Linked DNA regions of Callithrix jacchus. The protein of the gene in region 2 binds, or shares a complex with, the protein of the main gene of each other region. Links are inferred from orthologs where the notes say so. Each region holds a gene or a part of one and is shown on either strand. Other genes may lie near its edges.

Region 1 (3,500 bases), on a different chromosome or scaffold from region 2:
AGCTCTGGGAGCTTGGAGAAAGAAGGTGCTGTGTGGCTGCGTGGCTGCTTGGCTGCGTGGCTTTCGCTCTTCGCTGTTTTTGTTATTTGGTGGTGTGTGGGGTGTGGACTGGCTGAGTCCCTGTGGTGGCACCTCTGCCTACGGGGCTCTCCATGGGCTCTTCTCATGGGCAGGTGGGATAGAATTAACATGGATGCATCTTTCCCCATCTCCTGTGCTATATTATATTCATGAAGCATATTTGAGTTTTTCTGTCTTTTCTTTGCAGAACAAAACTATTGTGAGTCACGGTATCATTTTCTGCACTCAGCGGACGGGGAGGGCTGTGCCAACATGCTGGTGGAGTACTCCACATCCCGGGGCTTCCGCAGCGAGGTGGACATGTTTGTGGCCCAGGCCGTGCTACAGTAGGTGTCGGATGGCTCTACGGGTTCTGGCTTCCCTTGCTGCCTTGTCCCCGGCCCGAGCCGTGGTGCAGCGTAAACTGAGTTCACTCCGGGCAGAACCTGCAGTGCACGTGTCAGCCAGAGTGACTCATGAATTTTAATAAGTTTTATGAAGTTTAAGAAGTATTTTGGAATCTCCCCCTTTTCTGCGGTGCACCTCTCACCTGCTGCCGGGAGGCCCTGTAACCTCTGCTCTATTCCGGCCGGCCTCAGCCTGTGAACTGTGGGAATGCACTCCCAGTTCTTAGAATTGTCAGTGAGTCATCTACCCTGCAGCCCTCCCGCCAGCACACTGGGGCATCCTGCAGGCTGAGCTTGGGCACTCGCTTCCTTTCTCATGAAAGCCTTATGTGTGCCCAAGTCCATTTCTTCCACAAAACAAATGTGAATTTCTAGGCGGGCGTTGGGGTAGGACTGGCTTTGTGGATTTGATGTGGGATTTGGGGACAGTCATCCTCTGACCTCAGTGCTGCCCACTGCTGAGCTCTCCCAGGAGGGCGTCCGTGACTTAAATGAAAAGCTGGGTCAAACCCAGAGCTCACTGGCTCTGCACTGCGTAGATGTGTTCTCTGGATTGATGGTAGCCCGCCCCTGGGCCACTGAGCCCTCTCTGTAGGCCCTCCTCAAACTGGAGCCAGGGTCTGCGTAGCACCCGCCAGCTGCTGGGCTGTGGCCAAGTGTTCTGGTGTGGGCCATCATCTGATGGGTGCGGGCAACGGGGGAGAGAAGAGCTCACTCAGTGCATTATTCAGATGGGGCTCAAGCTGGGTTCTGGCTCCGGAGCCTTATGACCTTCTCAAGCTTCATTCTCTTCACCTATAAATTGCTGGCCTCCCCAGGATCCCCTGCTTGTGAGAGCGACACGCATGAAGCACTGGGTCCCTCCATGCTGGGGGCTGTGAGACCCGTGGGTGTGTGAGCTTGGGAAGGACCAGGGCATGTCAGAGGCTGGTGCCTGCGCGGGTGGAAAATGTGTCCTCCAGCCTTTCCTCCACCAGCATGTTCTCATTTCCAGGTTTCTGTGTTTAAAAAACAAAAGTAGTGCATCTGTGGTCTTCACGACGTACACCCAGAAGCACCCGTCCATCGAGGATGGGCCTCCGTTCGTGGAGCCGCTGCTCAACTTCATCTGGTTCCTGCTGCTGGCTGTGGATGGGTGCGTCTCAGTATTCTGGGGGTGTACGTTGTATGTCGATGTGGTGGCGTGGGTAGCTGGGGGGGTGTGTGCACGCAGGTGTTGGGTGTCAATGTGATGAGTGCAGATGTTGATGTGTGGGGGTGGGTGGGTATAGCTGTGGCATGGGTAGTTGTGTGGGGGGTGTGTGTTGTAGACTTGGTGGTGTAGGTAGCTGTGGGTGTGTGTAGGTGTGTTGGTTGTAACATGGTGTAGGTAGCTGTGTGGGTGTGTGTAGGTGTGCTGGTTGTAGACATGGCGTAGGTAGCTGTGTGGGTTGGTGTGAGTGTGCTGGTTGTAGACGTGGTGTAGGTAGCTGTGTGGGTGTGTGTAGGTGTGCTGGTTGTAGACATGGCATAGGTAGCTGAGTGGGTGTAGGTATGCTGGTTGTAGACATGGCGTAGGTAGCAGCGGTTGGGTGTATATGTGCTGGTTGTAGACATGGCATAGGTAGCTGAGTGGGTGTAGGTATGCTGGTTGTAGACATGGCGTAGGTAGATGTGTGTTGGTTGTAGACATGGCATAGGTAGCTGTGTGGGTGTAGGTATGCTGGTTGTAGACATGGCGTAGGTAGCTGTGTGGGTGTGTAGCTGTGTTGGTTGTAGACATGGCATAGGTAGCTGTGTGGGTGTAGGTGCGCTGGTTGTAGACATGGCATAGGTAGCTGAGTGGGTGTAGGTATGCTGGTTGTAGACATGGTGTAGGTAGCTGTGGGTGTGTAGCTGTGTTGGTTGTAGACATGGCATAGGTAGCTGTGGGTGTGTGTAGGTGTGTTGGTTGTAGACGCGTAGGTAGCTGTGGGTGTATAGGTGTGTTGGTTGTAGACGTGGAGTAGGTAGCTGTGGTTGTGTGTAGGTGTGCTGGTTGTAGACATGGCGTAGGTAGCTGTGTGGGTGTGTGTAGGTGTGCTGGTTGTAGACTTGGTGTAGGTAGCTGGGTGTGTGTAGGTGTGTTGGTTATAGACATGGCAGTGTAGGTAGCTGTGGGTATGTGCAGATGAGTGTTTTAGGTATAGACTTGGTGGCATGGGTTGCTGTGTGGGTGTTGGTTGTAGGCGTGGCATGGGTAACTGTGTGGGTGTGTCCAGATGAGTGTTGGGTGTAGGCATGGTAGCATGTGCAGGGGTGTGTGTGCAGGTGCGTGTTGCCATCTTCTATGGGTGTAGGCGCAGTGGTGTTACAGGTGTGTGTGTGGGTGTTGGGTGTAGACGCAGTGGTGGTGTAGGTGTGTATGTGTAGGTAAGTGTTGGGTGTAGATGTGGCAATGTGTGTAGGTGTGTGCGCAGGTGTGTGTGGCCCTCTCCTGCTCCCCCAGCATCTCCCTATGTCCCTGTGTCCCAGCGGAAAGCTGACGGTGTTCACCGTGTTATGTGAGCAGTACCAGCCATCCCTCCGGCGGGACCCGATGTACAACGAGGTGAGGGCTGGGACTGGAATGGGGAGGGGCCCTCAAGGCTGCACTGCCCTAGCTGGGACCCCACAGCCTGGGTCCGCCCTCTCCTGAACCTGCTGCCCATGCCTTGCAGTACCTCGACCGCATAGGACAGCTGTTCTTCGGTGTCCCGCCCAAGCAGACATCTTCCTACGGAGGCCTGCTCGGTAAGCTGAGGTGCCCTCGCCACTCCCACTGCAACCCTGGGTCAGTGTGGGGTCCTCTGCAGTCCTTCACGTAGCAGTGGTTCTTTGCTCTTTTCAATGTTTCTCAGTTTCCTTTTGTTAGTAGGAAATTATATTTCAGAGTTGAATCCTAGCTCAGTGCCTCCCAGCCCCGTCTCTGCTCCAGAGCTCCCCGCCCCTGAGGTTTCTCACACTTCCTGGTAGGGGTCGATTTGTGGGGCTGGCTGTGTGCTCAGAGAAACATCTGACTTGTCCGGTTTCCAG
Region 2 (4,215 bases):
TTGGACACACAGTCCAGTTGTGACCAATGAGAAGAGTGTTTATTTGCTGGGGCATCTGGCAGTGAGGCAGGGATTCCATGCAAGCTGCAGGCAGCCATCTTTTCATCCTTGGAGGTGATGGCCTGGGATGAAGCAGATACGAACGCAGAGGGAGGCAGGAAGACACTGGGTGAAATTGCTCACCTGCTGCCAATGCCAACACCACTGGACTTTTCCTTTCATTAAGTCAAGAAATTTCCTGTACTGATTCAACAAATTGCCTTTATTTTTAAACCAATTATTGGATACCAGAAGCAGCCTAGCTAATATAGCTCCTTTGGATAAAAGTAGAAGTTTCACGTTCACCTTTAATGTTATTTCACTTTCCAAAATTAATTTCCTGGCACCAAACAAGAACCCTGGTAAATGTATCACCTGAGCTGCAGGCCACACATGCTCACAAGCATGTCCCTCCACATATGGCTTTGAAGCCACATACATGGCTTTCCAGCTCTCGTGGGTGGCCAGGGGCTTTTGTGTGCTCTTCAGAGCCTTCACTCATTCGGCCTCTGCCCATATTTCCAGCCTGGGGACCCAATATTTGGCCCACAAGGCCCAGGCAGGAGGGTCTCCAGCACGTGCAGCCCTGACCACACTGAGCTGCTCCCTTGGCAAGGGTGGAGGGGCTGGAGTGGTGTCTTCCTGCCTGTGGCTTCCTTCCAGCCTCTACCACCCCTGGGGGCCTCCTCCAAGGAGCAGGCACTTCAATGTCCTCTAGTGCCCATGCGCAGGGCAGGGTGGAGGAGGAACTGGAACCCAGCCCATGCTTCTGCCCCTGCCTTGGCACCCCAAGGTTTCCTCTCAGGCAATAAGGAGCATACGAAGTAAGCCCCCGCACACAGATGGCTGGGATGTATTCGTCTTCCACATGGTGGCAAATGCTGGGGATGAGGATAAATGCCTACACCAGTCCCAGCTCTGACACTGCCTTTCTGAGTCACCCATCAGCCCTAATGCTTCCTGGAGGAGGAGACAAGCAGACAGGGTGCCCCAGAGAAGAGCTGTGTCACCAAAGGCCAGGACACCCATCTCTGGGTCACACTTGGCCATGCTTTGCTTTTGACTTCAGTTCGTTTATTGAACAGAAGGGAGAAGAGCACTGTTAACACTCCCCACCCTGGGCTGGGGTAAGGGCGGAGAACACTGACTCAGATCAGGAAGTGGCCCTCACCCTATAGAGTCTGTGGCGGGGGACCAAAGTGGCACTGAGACTTGCCCAAAGTCATATCACAGAGCTGGGGTGACTTTCTCACTCCCTGGCCCCAACCTGCTTTTCCATTTGTAGAACGCTCACTAGCTGTAGCAGCTGGGGGATCCAGGGCTGGCTGCAACTTGGCCTCCTGCAGCAGTGAGCTGAGGGTTAATGCTGGACCCGCCAGAAGTCAGGTGACAACTGCTTCCCCTTTCAGGCTTGGGAAGGAGTTGCTTGAGTGTATATTCTCAGTGGGCTAAATATGACAAGTGAGCTCAGCTCTCCAAGCAGCCCCTTCCTCCTTGTCACATCAAGGCACTTTCAGAAGCTGCTGGACTCCAACTGGGGCTCCTCCCCTGCGTCGCCCCCGCTGTGCTGGCTCTCCTCTTCCAAGGGTGTGGAAGCAAACCCAGGTCAAGCTGTGAGTGGTGCCTAGCACCTGGCCAGAGCCAGGTACCTGCCAGCTATTATTATGAGCCCAACTGCAACTGAACACACGTTGTGTGATGTTCAGCCGTGGCCTGGCGTTGGGCACCTCCCTATGCTCTGAGAATGCTATTTGGAGAAGCCCTTCTCCATCGTCTCAGTCACTTCTGGATGCAGGAAACGGCCAGCCAATCGTTCGATGTCGTCCAGTGTCAGGCGGCTCAGGGACCTCTCGTAATCCTGGGGAGAGAAAGGCAGGAAGATTCAGGGGATGGCAGTGGGGGGCTGGGAGCAGCTGGGCCTAGAAAGGATGTCCAGGGTTGCCCTTCTCACCCTCTGTAGCTGTTCCAGGACCCTGCTGGCATCTGCCGCGCTGAAGTGACGGGCCAAGACTTTGGAGATCAGCTGCCAGACCTGCGGGGGTGGGGAGTCGGCCAGTCTCCGGCCAGTGCCTTCTTCTAGTAGCACCTTCTCCAGGGGTTTGACCACTAGGTTGAGCTTGGAGTTGGGCCCGATGCTATAATCCGAGAGTCGTTTCCCATCTGCCAAAGACAGATCGATGAGTTTCTCCCTGCCGCCGTGGGGGTGGCCCAGGACACGAGGCCGCTTCGGGCTGCGGGATTCAGCTTTGCAGCATGCGGTCGTCTACCCTGGAGTCAAGTGGCGCTGGGCGCCGGCACCCCGACCCGTCACACGGCTGCCGAGGCGGCCAGAGCACCCTGGCCCCGCTTCCTGCGGGGCTCCCTGGGCGTCTCCTCTCCCTGGGTACCTGCCAGGGCCTTGCCCTTGAAGAGCAGCCGCTGCTGGCGCACGGGGACGTTCAGCTTCTCTGAGACCAGCTGCTTCAGCGTGGACACCAGCTCGTCCTCCGGCACCTGGCCGCGCCGAGGGTGGGAGGCAGGGATTGAGCCCGCGGCCCTCGGTCGACGAAGCCCACGCGTCCGCTACCGAGGGCGGCTCTCTCGGCTACCAGCCCCCGGCCCGGCCGCCCCGTGCCCGCCCTCGGCCCTGGCGGTCCTCCTGTTAGGGGCGGGCGACTGACGGGCCCGGCAGCCCGGCCCCGGGACCCTACCTGCAGGCTGCAGTCGCGGCCCTGCAGCGCCTTCACCGTCAGCTGCATGGCGGCCGCGGCGGCGTCCACTCGGGCGGGCGCGCACCCCAACCACCCCCCGCCGCGCGCCGCCGCCCCGGTCGCGCGCCGGATCCACCCGCTGCCGCCGGAAGCAGCAAGAGGGGCGCGCCCGCCGCCCGCGCTTCCCGGCCCCGCCCTCCTGTCCCGTTCACGCCCCCCACCCCAATTGCGCCCCGGGAGGAGGAGTCCCCCTGGGGTTCCGCCTCGCAAACGCGCAGCGACTGCCCTAGCCGGCGGACCCTTCCCAAAGCCACAGTGCGGGGAATTTGGGAGCTAGAACCCGTCGGGTCAGGTTGGCGTCATGTAGGAGCTGGGGCATGGAGAAGGAAGGGCCAAGAGTTACGCTCGCCCCCGCGGATGGCCTGAACCACCCCACATATCCTGACAGCTGGCGGAGCCGGGCCCTGCAAACCCACAGACGGCCCGCCCCCACCCCCTGCCCGCTGGGTTTCTGCCTCCTCCTTTCTGGTCTGGCTGCAAAACACCCCACCGAGTTTGAGAGCGGGCAGGGGAGCCAGGCCTCTGCTCTCATCCTCCCACCTCTCCCAGAATGGGGACATTCCTGGGGAGGGCTGATAGAGAAAGCCTGTGCATGGGTCACCGTGTCATCCAAGCTGGTCCTCCACCCTGGTCCACACCTACCCAGCACACTCTACCCCCAAGCCCAGGCACCAAAGGGCAAAGATTGGAAGGGACCCAAGCTTGCTTCTGTCTTTTATTGAAATATATTTTTGGGGCAGTGCCCACCTACCTAACTCAGCATGGCCTCCTTGGCACTGAAAGCTGGAGAATAAAAAAATCAGTAAAAAAAATAAGCCTGGATTTTTCTGAGTGCATAGTGCATGAGAACTAAAGGCCTTTGGTACACAAGAACTCTGGGGACAGTAGGTGGAGTGTGGAGGCTGGGACTGACGAAAGCTTGACCCAGAGGCCTCAGGGAACTGGGAACAGGCTGCTGTAGATGAAGTGGCCGATGACCAAGGCCAGCATCTCAGAGGTGCCACTCAGTGCCACAATGAAGGGGGCCTGGGAGGCATAGTCAGCCTGAAGGCGGCGGAGGGATAGCTGTAGCATGGCCAAGGCCAGCAGGCTGTTCTGCACCCCTACCTCAATGCTGACTGTCCGCCGCTGGGCCACTGGCAGCCTCAGACACGTGGCCAAGCAGTAGCCCACCAACAGGCCAACCAGGGGCACCGTGATACCCACCAGCACGATGGGTAGCCTGACGCCTGCCAGGATGAAGACCCCCATGCGATAGGCCAGGAAGAGGCCGCCCAGGAGGAGCACAAAACTGAAGGGCTTGATGACCTGCAGCAGCAGTTGGGAGAACTTGGGGAGCTTGGATTTGATGAGCACACCCACTGCTATGGGGATGGCAATGAACAGCAGGGTCCCCAGGATCTTGGATATGGGCACGTGGAGTGTT

Evidence for each region.
Region 1: UBL4A (region 2) and GET4 share a complex: the UniProt entries of both Homo sapiens proteins name them as parts of the BAG6/BAT3 complex. The link is inferred for Callithrix jacchus from reciprocal best matches to the Homo sapiens genes UBL4A and GET4.

The regions. Positions count from the first base shown.
Region 1 is NC_133503.1:58,122,329-58,125,828, reverse strand, and holds part of GET4 (Golgi to ER traffic protein 4 homolog), read left to right. Parts: intron 1-268; coding exon 269-407; intron 408-1,461; coding exon 1,462-1,602; intron 1,603-2,960; coding exon 2,961-3,036; intron 3,037-3,145; coding exon 3,146-3,218; intron 3,219-3,500. UniProt on the Homo sapiens protein: As part of a cytosolic protein quality control complex, the BAG6/BAT3 complex, maintains misfolded and hydrophobic patches-containing proteins in a soluble state and participates in their proper delivery to the endoplasmic reticulum or alternatively can promote their sorting to the proteasome where they undergo degradation.
Region 2 is NC_133524.1:150,280,137-150,284,351, forward strand, and holds UBL4A (ubiquitin-like protein 4A), read right to left. Parts: upstream 2,801-4,215; 5' UTR 2,778-2,800; coding exon 2,730-2,777; intron 2,533-2,729; coding exon 2,427-2,532; intron 2,200-2,426; coding exon 1,991-2,199; intron 1,898-1,990; coding exon 1,787-1,897; 3' UTR 18-1,786; downstream 1-17. Other genes in the region: SLC10A3 (P3 protein), read right to left, coding at 3,723-4,215. UniProt on the Homo sapiens protein: As part of a cytosolic protein quality control complex, the BAG6/BAT3 complex, maintains misfolded and hydrophobic patches-containing proteins in a soluble state and participates in their proper delivery to the endoplasmic reticulum or alternatively can promote their sorting to the proteasome where they undergo degradation.